2 linked regions of the Arabidopsis thaliana genome follow. The protein of the gene in region 2 purifies or fractionates together with the protein of the main gene of each other region. This does not show direct contact. Each region holds a gene or a part of one and is shown on either strand. Other genes may lie near its edges.

What was found.
Region 1: the proteins of RPS1 (region 2) and EMB3113 fractionate together in Arabidopsis thaliana (co-fractionation; one large-scale study listed by BioGRID). This does not show direct contact.

Annotation. Positions count from the first base shown.
Region 1 is NC_003071.7:14,300,172-14,310,616, forward strand, and holds EMB3113 (Ribosomal protein S5 family protein), read right to left. Parts: upstream 2,326-10,445; 5' UTR 2,182-2,325; coding exon 1,520-2,181; intron 1,004-1,519; coding exon 754-1,003; 3' UTR 501-753; downstream 1-500. Other genes in the region: AT2G33796 (FBD-like domain family protein), read right to left, coding at 1-81; SPL3 (squamosa promoter binding protein-like 3), read left to right, coding at 5,171-5,469, 5,561-5,657; MBAC1 (Mitochondrial substrate carrier family protein), read right to left, coding at 6,122-6,256, 6,346-6,444, 6,533-6,721, 6,792-6,890, 6,980-7,084, 7,166-7,267, 7,418-7,531, 8,006-8,122; AT2G33830 (Dormancy/auxin associated family protein), read right to left, coding at 9,597-9,633, 9,720-9,918, 10,025-10,115.
Region 2 is NC_003076.8:11,612,365-11,622,851, forward strand, and holds RPS1 (ribosomal protein S1), read right to left. Parts: upstream 8,935-10,487; 5' UTR 8,860-8,934; coding exon 8,557-8,859; intron 8,420-8,556; coding exon 8,144-8,419; intron 8,070-8,143; coding exon 7,989-8,069; intron 7,880-7,988; coding exon 7,598-7,879; intron 7,536-7,597; coding exon 7,425-7,535; intron 7,346-7,424; coding exon 7,259-7,345; intron 7,009-7,258; coding exon 6,898-7,008; 3' UTR 6,636-6,897; downstream 1-6,635. Other genes in the region: AT5G30490 (craniofacial development-like protein), read left to right, coding at 73-255, 1,533-1,907; GolS10 (Nucleotide-diphospho-sugar transferases superfamily protein), read left to right, coding at 2,981-3,313, 3,684-4,007, 4,132-4,230, 4,332-4,562.

The sequences.
Region 1 (10,445 bases), on a different chromosome or scaffold from region 2:
TCTATACCCATATATCTCCAACACCTTCACTTCATTTCGATCAATGAAGACTCCCTGATTACTTACACAGTGCAAGCCCATCACAAAGAGATCACCATTCATACAGAGTTAGGATTGTACGTAATACTTGACGCGGAAGCATGTGGATTAGTTAACTGCGTATATATTAAGTTTGGATTTAGACACCTTGAGCACAAAAGTTTCTAGCTTTGTAGTGAAACGTGAGTCTCTTGAGGGTTTTGTGGGATATAGAGTATACTTTGCTTTCTATACGTTGTCATCTAAGTGTTGGATAATTAACTGACCATGAAAGTGTTGTAAGGATAATTCCTCAAGTATTGGACAACAACAAAGCATTTTATGGCACAAGTCTTCGCATGTATACCAAGTTGAATGGAGAAGGAGACTCTTTTGCACTGAAAGAAACACTTGTGGTAATTATGATATTCGATCTGGACCATGATCTTAATTTTCGAATTTGTCAAAGACTGTAAGTACTAAATTGGGCTTGATGGGCTCTTCATTGGACTAACATAAATGTCTCGGACAAGTGTATGTGTTCTTCCTTGTACATTTTCACCTGCAACCTTATCAGCCATAGCTATAGCATTCTGAAATAGAATCGGTCAATGTGAACTTTTATGGGAGAAGAAAGGATTTACTATTTCAAAATAAACATATTTTCTCATGAATTACATCATTACAAGAAATCTCAACAAAAGAGGATGAAAATGTTAAAGCGAAGATGAGTTTTCACTTCCAGAGTTCTTCCATGGGGATTCCACGCTCTTGTGCAACATCGCGGAACTGTCTCATCTGTTGTACTGCTGCAAGAGTGGCTCTCGCATTGTTGAGAGCATTGTTGCTTCCAAGCTGTTTCCCCAATGCATTCTCGACTCCTGCCATCTCTAGCACAATCCTAACCGCTCCTCCAGCAATCACACCAGTACCTGGTGAAGCAGGTCTAAGCATCACCTTGGCTGCTCCATAATCACCCTCTGATCTATAATACAAAAACCAAACAAAACCCTCTTAAAACATAACTTAAACCCATCTCCAATTGTTCCAAAACATAGCTCAGTGGCCTATTAACCAACCGATTCTTCTAATTGATTGTGCACAACACAAAGATCAATCTCATAAAACCAGCATTCTGAGTAACAACTTCCATAAATCAATCCTTAAACCAAGCAAATCATCACATCCAACACAATGCTAAAAAGACTAAACCCCACAATCTTAGCTCATTGTCTACTGATTAACAAAAACCGATTCTTCTAATCATTAGGGCATTATTCAATATTTTAACTTTTGTGCACAATGCAAACATCAGTTTCGTAAAACAAGTACCATAACACCAATCTGTAAACCAAACAAACCCATCACAAATCCAACACATGACTGCACAATACTAATCCCAAAATCTTAGTTCATCACCAAGTAAGACTTTTACCATCCAAAACCAATTCTTCCAACAATTAACACACATTACAAACATCAAGTCCAAAACTTTGATTACCTGTGAGGGAAAGTAGAATACTTAGTCATAGGAACTTGAACAATGTTTCTCCTAGCATCAATAGCAGATTTCTGAACAGCAGCAACAACTTCTTTAGCCTTAGCACAACCAACACCAACATTCCCTTGTTTATCACCAACAACAACGATAGCTCTAAACTTCAATTGCTTCCCTCCTTTAACAACCTTAGTCACTCTCCTAACTTGCACAACTCTCTCTTCAAACCCATCTCTAATCTTATCTTTCTTTGGCTTCCCACCAATACCTGAACTCTTCTTATGCTTTGAGTCCATCACATAAATATCTTTCCCAAGCATACTCTCACCACTATACGCAGGTCCATAGAGCTCTTCAAAAGCGGTAGCGATCTCTTCCTCTGTCTCGTCGCTTCCTTCGTCGAAATACGGAGGAGAGACGAATCCTTCGGGAGCAATTGGTGGGTCGAAGACGACATTTGCGGTTATTTCTGGTGTTTCGTCTTCGAAGAAGATGGTTTCGGTATCGGTCGATGAGGCTTTGACGAGAGTGAGAGATGAGAAGCGGCGGTTGAGGAAGGAGGAGAAAGAGACGATGGATTTTGTGGAGGAAGAGGAGATGAGAGAAGAGGTTCGGGTGTGGAGTGAGAGTGAAGAGAGTGATGAGAGAGCTGATGCTGTCGCCATTGAAATGGAGGAGCTTTTTTGGATGAGGAAGGAAGTGAGAATGAAGCAAAAGGCTTATCCAGCACCAGATCGTAAAAACTGTAAAGATAATTGTGTTGGGGCTTTTAAAGTAATTATCAAGTTTCTTTACAAATTGGCCACAATATATTTTATAATAACATTTGAACCCTCATATCCTTTTGTTTGAATTTGGGCTCTTCGCTCACTCCTCCCTCTTTGTGGCCCAATGAAGTTTCTTCAAGCCCATACAAAAGTAACTAGTAGTAATCCACATCAAACCCTATAGGCTTGCGGATACATCTTAGGTTTACTAAATCTTAAAATAGAAAAGATCAGTGACCATATGCTAATTCAACATTTTATTTTTACATACTTTGGTCATTTTTAATATGGACTTTGTTTTAATTAAGATCGATTATACTAACTACAATCGCATATGACACCAACGAGCAACGTTAATTGCTTTTATGATTTTAAAAGTATGTGATTTGCAAACTAATTAAAAGGTGACCATATATAAAAGAGTGTACTACAAAAAGGGCCTACTACTATTCAATTAACGTTGCTCGTTAGTGTCACGTGGGGAAGTTAAGGTTCCCACTTCCCCCACCACTTCTCTCAGTTCTCTTCTTCTTTTTATTGTCCCATTCCAAATTTTAACCAACACATCAAGCAAACTTCATTAATTTATGTTCAGTGTTGTAGTTGCAAACGTTATTTATTATTTTACGTTTACAAGTTTAGAACTAGTTCGAATCGTGATAATCTTGAATAAATCATAACTTTGTTCATCTAATCATAAGAACATAGAACTTTGACATGGTGTCTCCGGATCTTGTTGACTTAGTTCTATCTTAAAGTTAAGCTACACATATTATAGGGACCCCATATTATAGTACCCAAACAAACAATTAGAGAGTTTGTATGCAAATCCATAATATTTACCGTAGAATTGTATGGGTTTAATGAGGAAAGAAAAAGAAAAGAAAAAGAAAAGAAGAGAAGGACACTGAAGGAGAATGTGATGCTGCTGAATAAAAGATACAATCAAAAAATTGACAGGCAGTACAATAATGATAAGTAGTGTCATGACAGCTGACGACTCTACTGCCCAATCTTGACGTTATTTATTTTTGTCCATTTTTTCTTAAGATATTATTTCAACTTAAAAGAAGTAGAAAATAAACCATAAGTGCATAACAATATTCCTTTTATAAATTGGGTTCAAGATATTGATTCGATTCTGTTTATTTCAAGTGTCGTGGAACTCAATTTTATGTTATGCCTGCCTCGGCAACAAAGATTTTCGTTCAAGTGGCTCTATGAAAATAAGTTAGGGCAAACTAGATCGATTGATGTAAACACAAATAGAGCTAAATAGTGGAGATAGTAAACTGGTGATTTTGTTTCGTAAATAGTCAAAAGGAGGGGGTGACAAAAAATAGATTTGTCCCTTACCTCTAAGAGATATAGAGCAAAACGTTTGCATAGCGCTGTACCATTTCCTTCTATATTTTATATATGTGGATGTGCATGGATCTAGCTGATGACATAACACGGCAAAATCATTTAACATTTGATTAGCATTGGCATCAATATTTGACGACGCTCCTCATTATTTATATATGTGGATGTGCTGATGTGCATGAATCTAGCTGATGACATAACCTAGTATATGTGCATGGTTTTATGGTGTGAACAAGTTTTTTTTTTTTCTTTTCTTGGTTTTAGGTGTGAACTTTAAGTTAGAGATGATCTTCAAATCTCACGAACCACAAACCTCCTTGCACGTTAAGAATAGCCTCTCTTTTTTTCTTTTGTTGCTTCTAGTCTCAGAGTGTCTTCGAGATATGTGTAGTCTTTAGTGTACCCTGAGACCTGAGTACAAGATCGAAAAGAAAATATCTCGAATAACAGAGTTGTGTTTGCTGTTTTTACCATTTAATTATGCTAATATCTTTGTTTTACATAATACCAATTGAAAAATGAATACATAATTCAAGTTTGGACCATTCTTGTATATCCACTTTTGGCTTCGTGGCCCCGATAGCTAATTTGATTGACCTTATCATCTACACCAAACAAGAAATTAAATTGTCAAATTAATTTAGTGGTGGCCCTATACTATAAAATCGTAAACACTTCTTTTTGAAACTAAATATAAACCTTACGACACATTTATGTGCAAATTAGTGGACATATTCCTCAGTAATAACGTTTTTACAAACCTACAGTTGGATAAATTATTGAGTCACTCCATGATTAAACCAACAACATAAGAGAAAAATAAAATAGTACACTACGAATGATCTTTTAAATATGTTATTCTTTTTTGATACAGAAACTTTAACTACCAAAAAAAAAAAGCGAATGATTCATAAAAACGCAATGTGGTATGTTTGGTCTGTTTTTTAGTTCGAATCTCAACTTCTTGTTACCACAAAAATAAAACATTACACAATGTAAATTTACTGTTCAGTCTTGCTTTTCCAATCACTACATTAGCACATATTCTTCACATGTATTTTCCACTAATCTCGCGACAAAATGTTCACAGTGTTTCTCAGTTTCTCTCTCTCAATATTTTCTTGTCAAACAACATGCATATTTGAACCCGCATGGTGAAATAGCATCGGCATTAACATGATCAACCACAAAATAAACCGGGGTGGTGTCATAGCATCGACATTAACTTAAAACTACAAAATAGAGCTGGGTCCTCGTCAGGTTTTAAGGATACATATGTATGCATGTATGCATATACAAAATAATAGAGCACTAAAGCTTGTTCGTACTCTTTTTTACACAACATGCTAATAATTTTTATACCTTAGGAGTGAAATTTTAGTGGTCCAACAACTTAAGCACCTAAGATCCTTCCCCACTTTTGTTTGGGGCTCCTTTATATCTCTTCCAATGGTTACTTTTACTTCCTCTTCTTCTCTTCTTGTTCCATCTTTCATGTGAGAGAGAGAGTTGAATTTTGCAGATGAGTATGAGAAGAAGCAAAGCGGAAGGGAAGAGGAGCTTACGAGAACTGAGTGAGGAAGAGGAAGAAGAAGAAGAAACTGAAGATGAAGATACTTTTGAAGAAGAAGAGGCTTTGGAGAAGAAGCAGAAAGGTAAAGCTACAAGTAGTAGTGGAGTTTGTCAGGTCGAGAGTTGTACCGCGGATATGAGCAAAGCCAAACAGTACCACAAACGACACAAAGTCTGCCAGTTTCATGCCAAAGCTCCTCATGTTCGGATCTCTGGTCTTCACCAACGTTTCTGCCAACAATGCAGCAGGTAAATTTTTGTCATCTTTTTTCAAAACTCCTGCAACAATAACCATAAACAAGAACAAGAAATATGAGACCTTTTACCTTTTGTTTTTAAGGTTTCACGCGCTCAGTGAGTTTGATGAAGCCAAGCGGAGTTGCAGGAGACGCTTAGCTGGACACAACGAGAGAAGGCGGAAAAGCACAACTGACTAAAGACGGTGAAACGTGTGAGATCCCGGTTTGAAGGTTAATGAAACAGGCTTTGCTTACTCTCTTCTGTCAGTCTCTTTTAGCTCCTTGTAATCCTCTGTGTCTCTGTCTGTTTCTCCATATTACCTGTAATCAAAGCTATCTGCTAAACCTACGACATGGTTAAATAAATGCATTGAGACTTAGTAAATGCTTGAAGAAATTATGTGTAATAACTCTTTAAACTTGTCAAATGTTATTTCAAGCCAAGATCTTAAACTACACCAGGGATCTGTATTTGTTTTGCAATCAACAAATGAGGAGACAGCTAAATAGCTATCAAAAATAATAATCTGGGAGACACTTTTGATTCGTGATATATGTAGTTCTGTTACATGAAAGCTCATCAAAATCTGAAGCAAATGCAAGCTCCTTGTGGTTTAAAGATCTGTAAATCGAACCAAATAAATTAGATTGGAAGACTAATCCTAGTCACGTTTGATTCCCAACATTTTCATTGAGAACTCCCAAGCAACAATTGCTGCTGCATTAGCAGGGAATGCTCTCACAATGGTTGGACCCAAACCTGCATAGCATCCCTTGAGTCCTGCCCTCTTGTGAATCTGCAGAGATGATTTAAAGTCAAAAACAATATTTCATATACTCTTTTGTATCGGTAATTAGATTCATAGAGGGAAGATGGCTGACTGACCGAGCTCAACACTTTAAAAGGATTTCTCTCTGTAGCTTTCTCTGAAGAGGTCTGGATTATGGTTTTTGCTACATCAAAAGGCAAAACAGCTGACCAGCACTGCATCATAGAAGCAGAAGTAATATTCATATAAAATAGCAACATTTTTTATGATGGAATTTATGAAACACACTATATAGATTCCTACAGCTATGCCTCCAAGACCACCAGTGAGAACTCCTATCCCCATGTCAACCAAGTAACCATCTTTCAGCTTAGAATCCTCCAATCTCGAGTGGATATGATACCGTAAGTACTCATAGACAGTAAAAAAGACAGCATTTCCCGTACATTCTCTTAATAAGGTTGCCGAACCACCACGAAAGATACCTGTTACCTGAAAGATATCCCCATCAACCTGATATTCGATTCTTAAGTAGAATATTTTAGCAACGAGAGTTTCTCACCCCATCATTTTTAACGGTCTGAACGGCACAATCAAGAGGACTGTTGTATCTACGGAAGTTAGGAACCAGAGAATCCGTTCCTTGGATCTGCATTCTACACTGAACAAAACAGTGAATGTCCCAAAACTCCATGGAAACCATCAAAGGTGATAATTGCGGGGAAAGAAATGGTGTTCTGGAGATTTCACCTTTACTAGCTCTGTTGGACATAACACAAAACTAATGATAGCTCCACCAAACATAGCAGACGGAACAATTATCTCTGGTCGTGGCCCATCATCTGGCAAAGTTCCCTTTACAATAAAACAAGAAAGAAGCGAAATTTGAAATCTGGAGGAAAATACAGTGAAAGATCATTTGGTCTGCAATGTTACCCGCAAGAACAGCTTAGCCTGGGAGTATATGCCAAACATCAATGAACTTTCAAAAGCCATTCCCATAAACGACGATGTTGCTCCCCTATAAAGTCCTTTGACCTAAATATGAATTCAAGTCAGCAAAAAAAAAACCCTTGTATCTGGCCAAACAGGTGATGATGGATCTAGTAAGATTCCATTGACACTGAAAAATCCAGACTTTCAATAACTAAAACTGTTTGCAGGATGCTAAAGTCTTGAAAACATAACAAAAAGAGTGCAGTGAAAATATACTCCTTCAGTTTGCAAGATCCTCGAAGCACAATGCAGCCCATTTTTGTATCTGAGCCCTTGCACATCTGTATTATGTTTCTGAAGTTTCACCTGACACAAGAAACAAAAGCCAAAACCCCAAAGTTAGAATCATTACTTCCAAACATGAGTGATGCCAATCCAGTGATAAACTATCTAAAAATGGTTAGCCTAAAACAAGAAATGATTTTTATGCATAGAAAGCTCCTAAGCAAAAAGAAACCATTTAAGTCCCAAACAGCATCAGAAGAAACCTCATTGAGATATATGATGGATGGTTTTATATCTTCTTTGCTTAACGATAGTTTTAGGCATAGAGGTAAACAATCAACACATAACTGATAAGTGAATATATATCAATGGTCCAGTGTAGAACACTTTCTCACACCAATGCATCCTTAATTAAAAACTAAAGTATAGAATTGAAGTACTGAAACATAATTTCTCAAATTGGAAGATGAAACACATATATACCCATTTGGTGTAAACTCTGATAAACACATATTTTACAAGAAAAATCGAAAACTAGGATTGAAAATTGAGTACCTTGACGGTGTCGAAAGGGTGGCCGACGGCGACAGTGGCGAGACCAGCCATCATTCCGGCGACATATTCCTTGTAAAACCCGAAGCCCTCTCCTGTCGTCGTCTTACTCTCTCCCATTCCCACAACGCCACCGAGCAGAAGAAGAATTATTCACTTCACTACGGTGTCTTTTGCTTTCTACAAAAAAAAATGAATAATTCAGAGTGAAAGTTAAATATTTATATGGGTGTTACAAAATTTTACTTTTTTTTAGATAAAGAATTGGTTGCTACATATATATGATAGATTCTATATTGTGTAGTGTGAACTAATTAGAATGATAGTTTCGGTCTAATCGTGACAAAATTATGATAGTTTAGGTAGATTGTTTCATAAAATTTGTTTACAATTGATTAACGAATGGCATGTGAAATGGTCAATGCTTTTTTGTGGTATATGTGTTAATATTATCATCTCGTTTTAAGGTTTTGAATAGAAGATGGCAGTGAATCCAAAGTGACTTATAAAGGAGCTAATCTCATTGCACAAAGTATAACTAATGACTTTTACGGCTCCATTTGTATGTAGCTCTTGGTTGCAAGGTGTGTAACGTGTGTTTAATGGTGAAAGATCTCTTTCTTCTCTATGAACTTGTGTGTTTTTGTGTAGGTGGAGACACTTCTTTTGTATATTCCCCTTGTATTGAAAATGTGCTTTGAATAGGTTGATCCCGCAGGACTCAGGTTTGGGTTGGTTCTTTTTGTGTAACCTTGTATTCTATCTTCTTCTTTAATCAAATCAGATGACAAAAAATTAAATATATATTACATTTGTATCCAGACATGTATAAACTTTAATTAAATCACTATCATAATGGTTTGTTGACACAAAGAATTCACCTAACCATGGTTATGTTTTTGTTATTTAATGAGATGAGATCAACCATGGTGATTAAAATAGGTTGATCCCTGAGCTTTGGATTGGTTCTTTTTGTGTAACTTTGTATAATTATATCAAATCAGACAAAAAAATATATATAAAAAATTACAACTGTATCCAAAGACATGTATAAACTTTAATTAAATCACTATCATAATGGTTTGTTGACACAAAGAATGCATTTAACCATTGTTATGTTTTTGTTATTTAATGAGATGAGATCAACCATAGTTCAGTTAAAATTTAATCAAATCACTATCATAATTGTTTGTTGACACAACGAATTCATCTAACCATGCATGATTGAGATATTTTAATGATGAACAAATAAAATAAAATAAAAATAATGATATGAGATCAACCATGGTTAAGTTAAATTCCATTTTGCTAATTATAGTTAAGTTAAGTTATATTGTTAGCTAAATCATTAGAGAAGCTAATTGTAATATTACCGAACAGTAAAAATATTACAAGACACTGAAGACGCATCGCCACCGTTAAAAGCTAAAAACTAACCCAGATGGTGGAAATCAACGGTCACTAACAAACACAAACGACATGAAGCAAATAAAAGATTGCACATATAGCCAAAATAGACGAAACAGAACATAAACACGTGGCGTAAAGAACATAATTATTTTACATCATTCTCATGTCACTCTACCCTCTCGGCTCAACGGTGCTTGCTCCTAGTGTCGTCGCTGTATAGCCTGCGGGATCACAACAACGGTCAAACCATCTTAGATCTGATCTACACCGTCCGGTCAGATAATAATAACAGAAACTGAGTACGTACCAATCGTAGACGGTGGGAGAGTTTGGGTGAGAAGGCTTGTCGAAGAGGTTTGTGCCCATTCCTCTAGTGGCGATGTTACTTCCTGGATGAAACACACTTCTCCACACGTTTTCCTTACGCGCCGATCCTGGCGTCGTCGGAGTTCCAGGACTCCCGGCCACCGCCGCCACAGTTTTACTACTGCTCCCTTCTCCTACACCTTCCAAAAACCATCACATGATATAATTATGAGATCATACGTTTCTACAAAGATCTGTATATGCAAGTTTATTACGGAGTTATGGTTGACAAAGAAAAATAAATACCTTTGATGTCAAGGGGTTGGGTGGTGATCTTATTGCGGAGGCGGCCAAGGCCATGCTCCGGTTTAGGTCCGGCTACAGTTTCATCCCACATATTTCTTTCTTTTTTTGGGTTGATTTTGGATAGAATTGTGTCAAGTGTGAAGTACTTACTAAAGGGCTTCCTTCATCTAATTTATAGACTCATTTTTAAACTATTCGTAAAAATATCTCTTTTCCTTTGTCGACTAGTTCTCTCATTTTTTATTTGACCCACAAAATATCTAGAGAAATACTATAATAGACTAGAAATAATTGACAAGTAATTGATAACTTAATTACCAAATGAAGTTTATATACTTGCACATAGAATTTTCGTTAAAATTTGATACGTTTAGCCAAAATGTTATTATTCTCTGTCAATAAACAACATGAATACATAATA
Region 2 (10,487 bases):
CTACTCTCTCTGCGTTTTGATTCTTTTCTTACGTTTGGGATTTTGAATGTGTTTTTCAAAAAAAATTTGCAGAATTGGAAAAGTTATCTCGGTGTGAATGTGAAGAAGAAGGATACTTGTGTTTCTGATGTACAGAAGAGTGTTTTGAATCATAGCTGTAGTGAGGAGGCTAAGAGTATTGCTGCAGCCGCTTTAGCTGCGGTGCGAAACGCAACTGTAACGGCTGCAGCTGCATCGAGCCGGGGCAAGATTGAGGTTAGAAAAGTTTTATGTTTGAATTTGTGTGTTTTGGTTCGTTATTGTTAGAAGATAAGATCTTATCAGCTGTTTTGGAGCTAAAAAGATAGATTGTGTAGGAGTTGAATCACTGTCTCGAGTAAAAATGTGGTTTGATTGAACCTTTACGATAAGAAAATAAAGCTCGTTTCTTGTTTGAGTTTGTGTTTGGCTCAGAATTTTATGAATCTAAGGTTTGATTAGTTGTTTAGGAACTAAGAAGATAGATGGTGTAGGAGTAGAATCTCTGTCTCGAGTTAAAATGTAGTTTGATTTTGATTGAACCTTTACGATCCCCGAATAAACCTCATTTCTTGTTTGAGTTTGTGTTTGACTCGGAATTGTTAGATTCGAAGGCCTTCTCAGTTGTTTGGAACTAAGAAGATAGATTGTGGAGGACTGGAATCTCTGTTTTGGGTTGAAATGCATTTTGATTGAACCTTTTTTCGAATCTGTGTTTAAAACTAGGAAGGTGGATTGTTTAAAGCTTGGTACTGTATCGTTAGGATGTAAGATCCCCGAAAGTTTTTTTTTGTTCGAATCTGTGTTTTGGCGCGGTACCGTATCGATAGAATGTAAAATCTTATCAGCTGTTTAAAACTAGGAAGGTGGATTGTTTAAAGCTCGTTTCTTGACTTTGTTTTTGGCTCAGAATTGTTTGATTAGTTGTTTGTAACTAAGAAGATGGATTTTGGAATCTCTGTTTTCAGTTAAAATGCAATTTGATTTAACCTTTCTTTATCCGTATGTACAGTTTGTTTTTGGTTCGAATCTGTGTTTTGGCGCGGTACCGTATTGTTAGAATGTAAGATCTTATCAGCTGTTTAAAACTAGGAAGGTGGATTGTGTAGGATTAGAATCTACGTCTCAAGAAAAAGTGTAGTTTGATTGATCCTTTGTGATATGAAAACAATGCTTGCTTTTTGTTTGAATCTGTGTTTTAGCTTGTTATTGTATTGATATAACTTAGAATCTTTGATCGTATCAGCTGTTTAGAAGTAAGAAGATGGATTGTGGATGACTAGAATCTCTGTCTCAAGTTAATGTGGTTTGATTGATGCGTTGCAATCCATAAATAAAACTTCCTTTTTGTTTGAGTTTGTGTTGTTAGTTACTATGATCTTATCAGCTTTTTGGAACTAGGAATATGGAATGTGTTAGAATAGAATCTAATTAATTGAACCTCTGTGATCTGTGATTTGCACTTGGGGCGTATTCATTCAGTTAATACATATGTTCTTCTCGATTATTTCCAGATAACCGAGGTCAAAGATTTTGCGGGTCAAGAAATCGAAGTAAAGCGGTTAGTTGAAGCGGATTCAAAGGAAGCATTGGAGAGGGGAAACAAAGGCTCCTCTTCCTCCTCAGCAGCGCCTTCAGCGGTTGATGCGGTTCTTGAGCAGATAAAAAAGAAACAAAAGCTGAGTGTTTTGGACAAGACGAAGAAAGATTGGGGAGAGTATAAGGAAGAACACAAAGGTGTTGAAGACGAGCTAGATAAGTACAAGAAAAGCTCGGATCAGTATCTCGACAAAGTTGGTTTCTTGGAGAGAGCTGATTACAGACAGTTTGAGAAAGAGAGAGACGCTCGTTTAGCTCTTCAGTCCAAGAGAAGACACGATGATGTATGAAATGAAATGTGACCGACCCTTTTAACATGTATGAAATCATTTTCTCAAGCCATTTTGGTCACATTCTTTCCATAGTCTAAACCGAGTTCCCGTTGCATGATTGATTCTGATTTTTTATGTCTCGTTCATAAGAATTGAGAACATCCTCTCTTGTAGGCCATGGACAATGAAATGGGCTTGTAATGCAAATGAAATCCCAACTTCTGAAGCCCATGTTTTTATTTCAACCCAATTATGAAACGAAACATCATTTCATTTGTGATCGCAATCTTTTCGTTCTTTTGACCAACAAAAATTAGCAAACTCAAATCCGTATTTAGGTCTGAAAGAAGACAGTGAGACTAATTGTTATGCTAATTTGGTTTTTCGACTGTATATGGCATTTGAATATTTTATACCTAAAAATATCACTAATTGACCTGAATTTACCAAACTTAATACCTAATTTGGTTTTTCGACTGGCATTAGCTCAATTGGTAAAGACCTTTGGCGAAGCTTAGAGGTCGCCGGTTCGAATGATGTTTGGGATGAAACTAATATTACATGATGTGGTTTCGGGCCTGGAAAAATTACGGGCTTCGGTCCAAAACCTCCTGATATTCAAAAAATAAAGAAAAAAAATTAGTAGTAGGAAACTCCAATCTACAAAATATTCGGATGAATTAACGGTATCTTGAAAACGTCCAACTTAGGATAAAACCGATATAATAATAGGGCCACGTTGAACTAAATAAATATTCCATACACAAAAGACTTACAAGAACATGGTATGTACCATATACATCAACATTTATCACACCAATTAATATTTCAATTTCCATATTATTTACGATTCTAGATTTAATATCTTTATCCGATTCTAAATCTTGGCAAACAAGAATCGGGTCAATCACAATCAAAAAACGTTTTCCATAAGAAAATCCCCTAAGATATTCAAAATCAAAACCATAATTAATTCAACTTCCTCTTTCTCTCCTTTATATAATATCACCATCGACATATCTTATAACCGCAACCAAAAAAAAAGTTCTTATCTTTTAAAACTTATCTAAAGAGACTAAGCTTCTTTTGAGATGGCACCAACGGAGATGAACATCGAAAGAAAGGTAGAGGCTGACGTGGCGGTGATTCCTAATGATGGAAAAAGGGCTTACGTCACTTTCCTAGCTGGTAACCAAGACTATTGGATGGGTGTGGTTGGTTTAGCCAAGGGACTTCGTAAGGTGAAAGCAGCTTATCCTCTTGTTGTGGCTATGCTCCCAGACGTACCGAAAGAACACCGTCAAATCTTGGTGGCTCAAGGATGTATCATCCGGGAGATTGAACCGGTTTATCCGCCGGAAAACCAAGCTGGTTATGCTATGGCTTATTACGTTATCAACTACTCCAAGCTTCGAATTTGGGAGGTAGGATCTTACTTACATGCATATATCCGTATATCACTGTATCGGTTTTCTTTGTCAACTATCGTTTATTGCATGTAAACACGTACCCACAAATTACTTTGAGTGACACGTGGATTTGAATGTTTGTGAATTTTTTAACAGAAACAAATAATAACGCTTATCATTTTATCTAACAAATAAATTGTCATGTGCCGTATACTAATCAAGATTTATATATAGTCACAAATCTATAATAATAACGCTTATTATTATTCTCAGAAGTTGTTTTAATTTAGTAAATAACATTTCAAGAACATATGTATAAAGTTTGTCTTAAGTCTTATAGTATATATATTTTATTCTAACCATATGATTACATATATAAATGCAGTTTGTGGAATATGAGAAGATGATATATTTAGATGGAGACATACAAGTGTTTAGCAACATCGATCATCTATTTGACACTCCATCTGGCTACTTGTACGCCGTCAAAGACTGTTTTTGCGAGGGTTCTTGGTCAAAAACACCTCAATACAAGATTGGTTACTGCCAACAGTCGCCCGAAAAAGTGAGGTGGCCGATGAACAGTCTTGGTCATGTGCCGCCATTGTATTTCAACGCGGGTATGTTGGTCTTTGAACCAAATCTCCTCACTTACGAGGATCTTCTTCAAACTGTTCAAGTCACCACTCCTACTTCATTCGCCGAACAGGTCCGATCAATTAGGATTTTTTAAGACTTTTATTTTCATTATTTACATTTATTTTACAAATCTAATATTATTGTTTATCTATTTATAAGATTTTCTGAATATATACTTTAGAGATATTTACAAGCCAATCCCTTCGACGTACAACCTCGTACTAGCTATGCTTTGGCGTCATCCCGAATGCATTGACCTCGACCAAATCAATGTTGTTCATTATTGTGCTAAAGTATGTTTGTTTTTAATCTCTTAATAGGACTCTTGATATGTAATATAATAGATCATGTTACTAATTAATGTTGGTCATGTTAATTTTGAATCATTTTCTAGGGCTCAAAACCTTGGAGATTCACTGGAGAAGAGGAGCATATGGACCGAGAAGATATTAAAATGTTGGTGAAAAAATGGTGGGACATTTATGAAGACACGAGTTTAGACTACAAGACATTTGTTGAGAACGAGTCGAAGCTGAATCCGATCGTTGCAGCCTTGGCCTCTAAAGAATCAGGTTGTGATGGTCTTACTAGCCTCGCTCCTTCCGCCGCAAAATCAAATCCCTAACATGCATGGAAGCTATCTTTTATCGCTTTCTTTTTAATGCAAGGTTTTAGCTATATCTATAATTTTCTTATAATTATATATAGCAAACTTCTTTTATGTTTGTGAGATAAGAGTGGTTGGTCTTGTGTTTTTTCAAGACTTTTATTTCCATGACAACCTCGGCTACCCTTAATTTGCTTTTGTATCCCCCTCTCTTTTTAATAAGTAATCAATAATAAGAATGATAATGCTATTATGGCTTTAATCGCCTTCTCTTTCATTTTTTTTTAAACAACCTAATAGATTATTTCAAATATTTGTGTACATCAATTTTGAAAACTATTGGATTAGTAGAATGGTACTACCTACCTTTTTACATCAACTAGTTGTAGTTGATATCAGTAGTTTGGTTTTAACATCTATTAGTAATATTTGTTAATTTAACCAAGGATTACTAAAATCCGAAAATATATCACTACTGATACTATGAAAGTACTATCGATCCCAAAATATCAATCGATAATCGATGTACAGTTACTGAGTGTTTGACTTGTTTGTTGTTAAATGGCATATAATCAAATAACCTTTCCTGGTATGATATTATATAGTAATTAGCGACTAATCCCATTAAATATCTCTTTATATCTGATATGGATCAAATGACTAATCCATCAAATAAATTGATTTATACGAGATAAATTGTTGCTACCTATGCTTAATGGCCTTTCTTAAAGAATGCAAATTTTATTTAGCAAAAAAAAAGAATGCAAATTTTAGTATCGAAGAATAAATGAAAAAAAAAAACCATCTAAGGAATTCTATATAAAACATTTCAATTTGTATTATTTCGAAATGCCATAAATTTCTATTATCCAATTTGATCTTATATGGAAAATATATCTCATAGTATTACAAAACATAATTGTAACTAGAAGAAACCTCGCTTAAATTTTTGGATAATAAGCTATATTATACTCCTTCTGTTCTTTATTAATTCATTTCTTAGAAAAAAAAATTGTTTCAAAAAGATTATTTTTTTTAGTTTTTCTATGCACTATTTATTAATTATTATTGATGAATTTTAAATTTTAAGACAAATAATTAAATATCATTGGCTTAAAATTATAGAAAAATATAAATCACAAAAATAATATATTTATAATCAGTTTTAATATGTTTTGTGTTTTTCTAGAAAATCAATGAAATAAAATAGAGAGAAGAAATGGTTTGCATTAAAATATTTTCTTTGATGATTTTCATACCAAGTTGAAAAGGTAAATTTAACTTATAAAATAATAAAAAAAGCTTGACTTGTTTCTTATAACGTATAAAATATAGATAGAGAGTTGTAATGCAGATCTATCAGTTTGGGCTTGTCGAAAAACTATGAGCTTTGGTGAGATTCAGACAAATGAGTTTGATCATGTTGCATATCATTAGCCAATGAGAAGAGACCATCAATCAAATTTGTGAGATACGATAACCTTGTGCGAGAATGAAGGAATCCTCGCAGGTCTGTTTAGAGCAATCCTAACGCAAGATACACTCACATAGAAACCTCCATCTGAATTTCCAGTTCCGAATCACCACCACCAAGAACAACTTCATTCTTCAAAATATCAAAATTATTGAAAACGGTACGAAATCTGATTTGGTGCTTTACATTTATCCCTTGCTTAAGATATTTAATCACACCATCTTCCAAAACGTTACGTGGATTCTTAATCAGCCAGAACCCTACAAAAACGAATAATTTCTTAGTCTAACCATTTCCTCGTCTCCAAGATACTTTAATCAAATCAAGTCTTTGGACATTTGAAATATTTCAGTACCTATTTGATCCTCCATATACTCAATGAGTCTGAAGATATCCATACCCAACACCACCCTCATAGTCCTATCACGTTCCCTGGTGATTTTAAAACTAGTGTCGAAATCCTTGAATAGAACTAAACAAGCCATTTGGTAAACCTACCCATCTAATTCCTGCTTCTTTAGACAATATGTTACAGTTTCTTCTTACTTCTCCAGCTTCAATCACACTCAAAATAGGGTAGACCCAATCACATTTGCTAACAACAGCCGCTAAACAAACTTTGTCAAGACACCTGTTCTGCCGTAAAGGTTATGGATAAATTCTTATTAAAAATTTAACAATATCTTTTTTTTTAAGACCGTGTGCTCTGTTTGGTCTTGGGCAAAGCCTTTCTTTGGTTTCTTGACATTGTAACAGAACATATCGATTACAAAAGACAAAGTACACATGATAAAATGTCTTGTAGGAAGTAAACTACATATTCAATTAAGCTCAAGGAGGTGTTTTTGTGTATGAAAAAATACACTAAAGCTTTAGAATCTAAATATCAACTGCAGAAGGAATGTCGTCGACCGTTAGATCTACGCCATCATCTGGTAACTCAGATCCGAGTGGTCCTAGTATCCCGTCAGAACTCAGCGTCAGTCCACTCTGTTCAAACACACAACAACATGAGCTTATTATCCTCCACCAATTACAACCTTCTATGGTTATGGTTAAACAAACCAACATACCGAAAACAACAACATAATTCTCAAAATCCAAATTAACTCATTTGTGATGATCAATGTAAAAGGAAAAAATCTTAGATGGTTACTAAACATGTACACTTTTGGAACTTGATTGCAATAAGAAATCAATAAGCATGGATAAACGAGATCAGGCAAGTGGAGAATGATACCTCAGGTTGGAAGCGAAGCATGTCTGCACGAGCCATGGCTTCTGCTTGCGCAATTCTCTGTCTGAATGTCTGAGCCATCTCCTCAGCCTTGAGACAGCAGAAAGTAGCAAATGATTGAGACATAAAAGAAAATAGGGAAAGTTTTTTTGAATGGAAATAGAGTTACCTTCTCGAACACAAGTTTTGGGTTACGAATCATATCACCAGGTGTTGGCTCCAGCTTCTTTGTGGAGAGACTTACTCTTCCTCTGTCACGGTCGTGACTCAATATCATAACCTGTACATTAAAAGTTAGGGACTGTTGTTTTAACATCTGAAATTAAACGTTTAAGAGTATACCTTCAAAGTGTCACCAGGCTGAAGAACAGTTGCGATATCTGAGACACGGTCATGACTTATCTGACTGACATGAAGAAGCCCATTGATTCCACCAATGTCAATGAAGGCACCATAAGGTTTCAAGCTCTGAACAACTCCGAGGACCACAGATCCAATTCCAAGCTGAGCTTGGCTATCTGCTACAGCTTTACGGTTGCTGAGGACAAGCTTTGTTTGTTCCTCATCAACCTCCACAAACTTAAGAGGTATTTCTTTTTCAAGAAGCTCTTCAGCTGCTGCTTTCTGACAAAAATGTAGAAGAAAACACATTTCATATATATCAGGTTGTGTTTCGTCTTAAAATCAACTAACAAAACCTTGAAATATTCACAGTTCTGAGGCAACTACTAACCGATGATATCTGCGAAAAGGGCACAAATCCACGAAGACCTTCCACAAGAGCAACCAATCCACCTTTGTTAGCACCAATAACCTACACATAACAATCAAATTCCTGAAACTATAACCACAGAAACCACAATAGTAGCAAACAAGTTTCAAACATACCTTAGCCTTGACAATAACATCCTCAGCCTGAAGCTGCCTGCAACGTTCCCAAGCAAGTTCGTATTGAATATTCCTTAAGCTCAATAGCAAACTGTCATCACTTTCATTTTCACCAATGATGACAAACTCTTCCACCATACCAGGTACAATACCAGCTTCTTCCACATGCTTAATTCTATGAATACACGCTTGTTCTACCGACAAGTAAGCCGATGACTTTGCAGAAATGTCAACTAATGCACCATTTGCATCAGTCTTGAACACTGTTCCTTTTACCTAAAACAACATCATTAACCACAAATGATACACAATTTCTACAGAACCACCATTGTCATGTAATAAAACTCATATCTTTAGAACTATATTTCAAATTCCCCAAAGAATCTGAAGTAGGTAAAAGAGAATAGACAAACCCTAGTGCCGATTTCGGAATTGAAGTCGTATTGTTCAATAGCAGCAGCGAAATCGTCGACGGTGAAAGCAACACCTTCCATAGGAGAAGTTCTACATCGTTCATAAGCATCTTCGAACATCTTCTTCAGCTCAAGACGCTCCTTTGTTTGACCGCTAGACATTGCAACCGCGGCGACAATAGTCGGAGAAACAGAGGCAGATTTGTTCTGGGGAAAGTTCTTCGAAGCTCTCCTCGATAACCTAGAAGAAGAAGAGAGTGGGGAACATCTCAATCCCGAGAATTGCTGAGCCAAAGACGCCATGGTTGAGTCTCACTCACTCACACAGAGAGTTTTATCTGTTATTCTTCTATGGCTCCTGCGTTTTATCGTTGGGTTAGATAAGGCCATAAGGGAATGGTAGAGATGATGATCTGGACTGAAAACTACATGCCGTTTTTCAGTCATCTAAACAGCGTGACGTTAGAAAACAAGTACAATAAATAAATGTACTAGGTATCGATCCAAGCTGCGCAGCGCGAAAGAATATATGTATAAAAAAATTAAAAGTAACGATCACAATCATATAGTAGAGTTCGTTAAAGGTTTAAATATAAATATAAGTTTTATGAAAATATAAATAGATTATGTACGTATAAATGTTGTAAACCGATGCTCAAAACCACACGAAACTTTAACACTTTCCAACTCAATCTCTCTCAACTCTCAAGAATCAAACACTTTTTTGAATCGTGAATGAAAACAAAAAGAAAGAACAAAGACACAAAGTTGTTTACTCAGTTTAATCCATCGATGTGATGAATCTATGTCTGGGGCTGAATTCAATCCAGCAATCCACTATGAAGATTTAATGTCTTTCTCCAGAAACTCAAGAACAGAGCTCTTCAATGGAGATTACAAACGAAGAAGAAGAAAATACAGTACAAAGAGAAAGAAGCTGAGAATACAAAGTATTTATAGAACCAGACCAAAACGGCAAACCCTCTAAACCAGCTGGAGTCTTCTGATCCTTTTCTCAAACACTTAAAATCAGTCTTCTAACCCTTCAATTGATGCTTAAACCAACAATCAATCACTAACCAATACTAACCGGTCTAATCAAGTTGACATCAGACTAAACCGGAAGAATTGGATCACACCTTCACAATCTCCACCTTGATACAAGTCTTCATCAAACATAGTAGATGCCATACATGGACTTAACCTTCAGCAAACCGAGCATGAAAGCTCAGTCCCACTTGATCAACTTCAGAAACTCCAAAGCTGAAACAAACTTGTGAATTGGGATACACTTAGTCAACATATCTGGAGGATTGTTTGACGTGTGGATCTTCACCACATTTATTTCCCCTTCTTCTATGATCTCACTCATAAATGCCCGTTTACGCAACATGTGTTTAGTCCTTTCATGGAACACATTGTTCTTGGTTAGGCAAATCGCAGACTGAGAGTCACACCACACCTGAACTTTATCCTGCTTGAAACCAAGATCTTCCATTAGCCCTTTAACCCAAATAGCTTCTTTCACAGCTTCTGTTAAGGCTATAAACTCTTCTTCAGTAGTAGACAATGCAACAATTGACTGCAGACAAGATTTCCAACTAACTGTGTTGTCTCCCACAGTGAAAATATATCCACTAACAGATCTTTGTTTTTCAAGATCTCCACCATGATCTGAATCACAGTAACCCATAATATTCAAATTCTTCCCTTTGGTATACACAAGACACAACTCTTGTGAGCCCTTTATATATCTCAACAGCCATTTAACTTCTTCCCAATGCATAGACCCGGGCTTGCTCATGAACCGACTAACCAGACCTAATGCATAGGCTAAGTCAGGACGAGTACCAATCATAGAATACATAACACTTCCTACTGCACTTGCATAAGGAGTTTTCTCTGTGTTAATGCATTCTGACATATCTCTC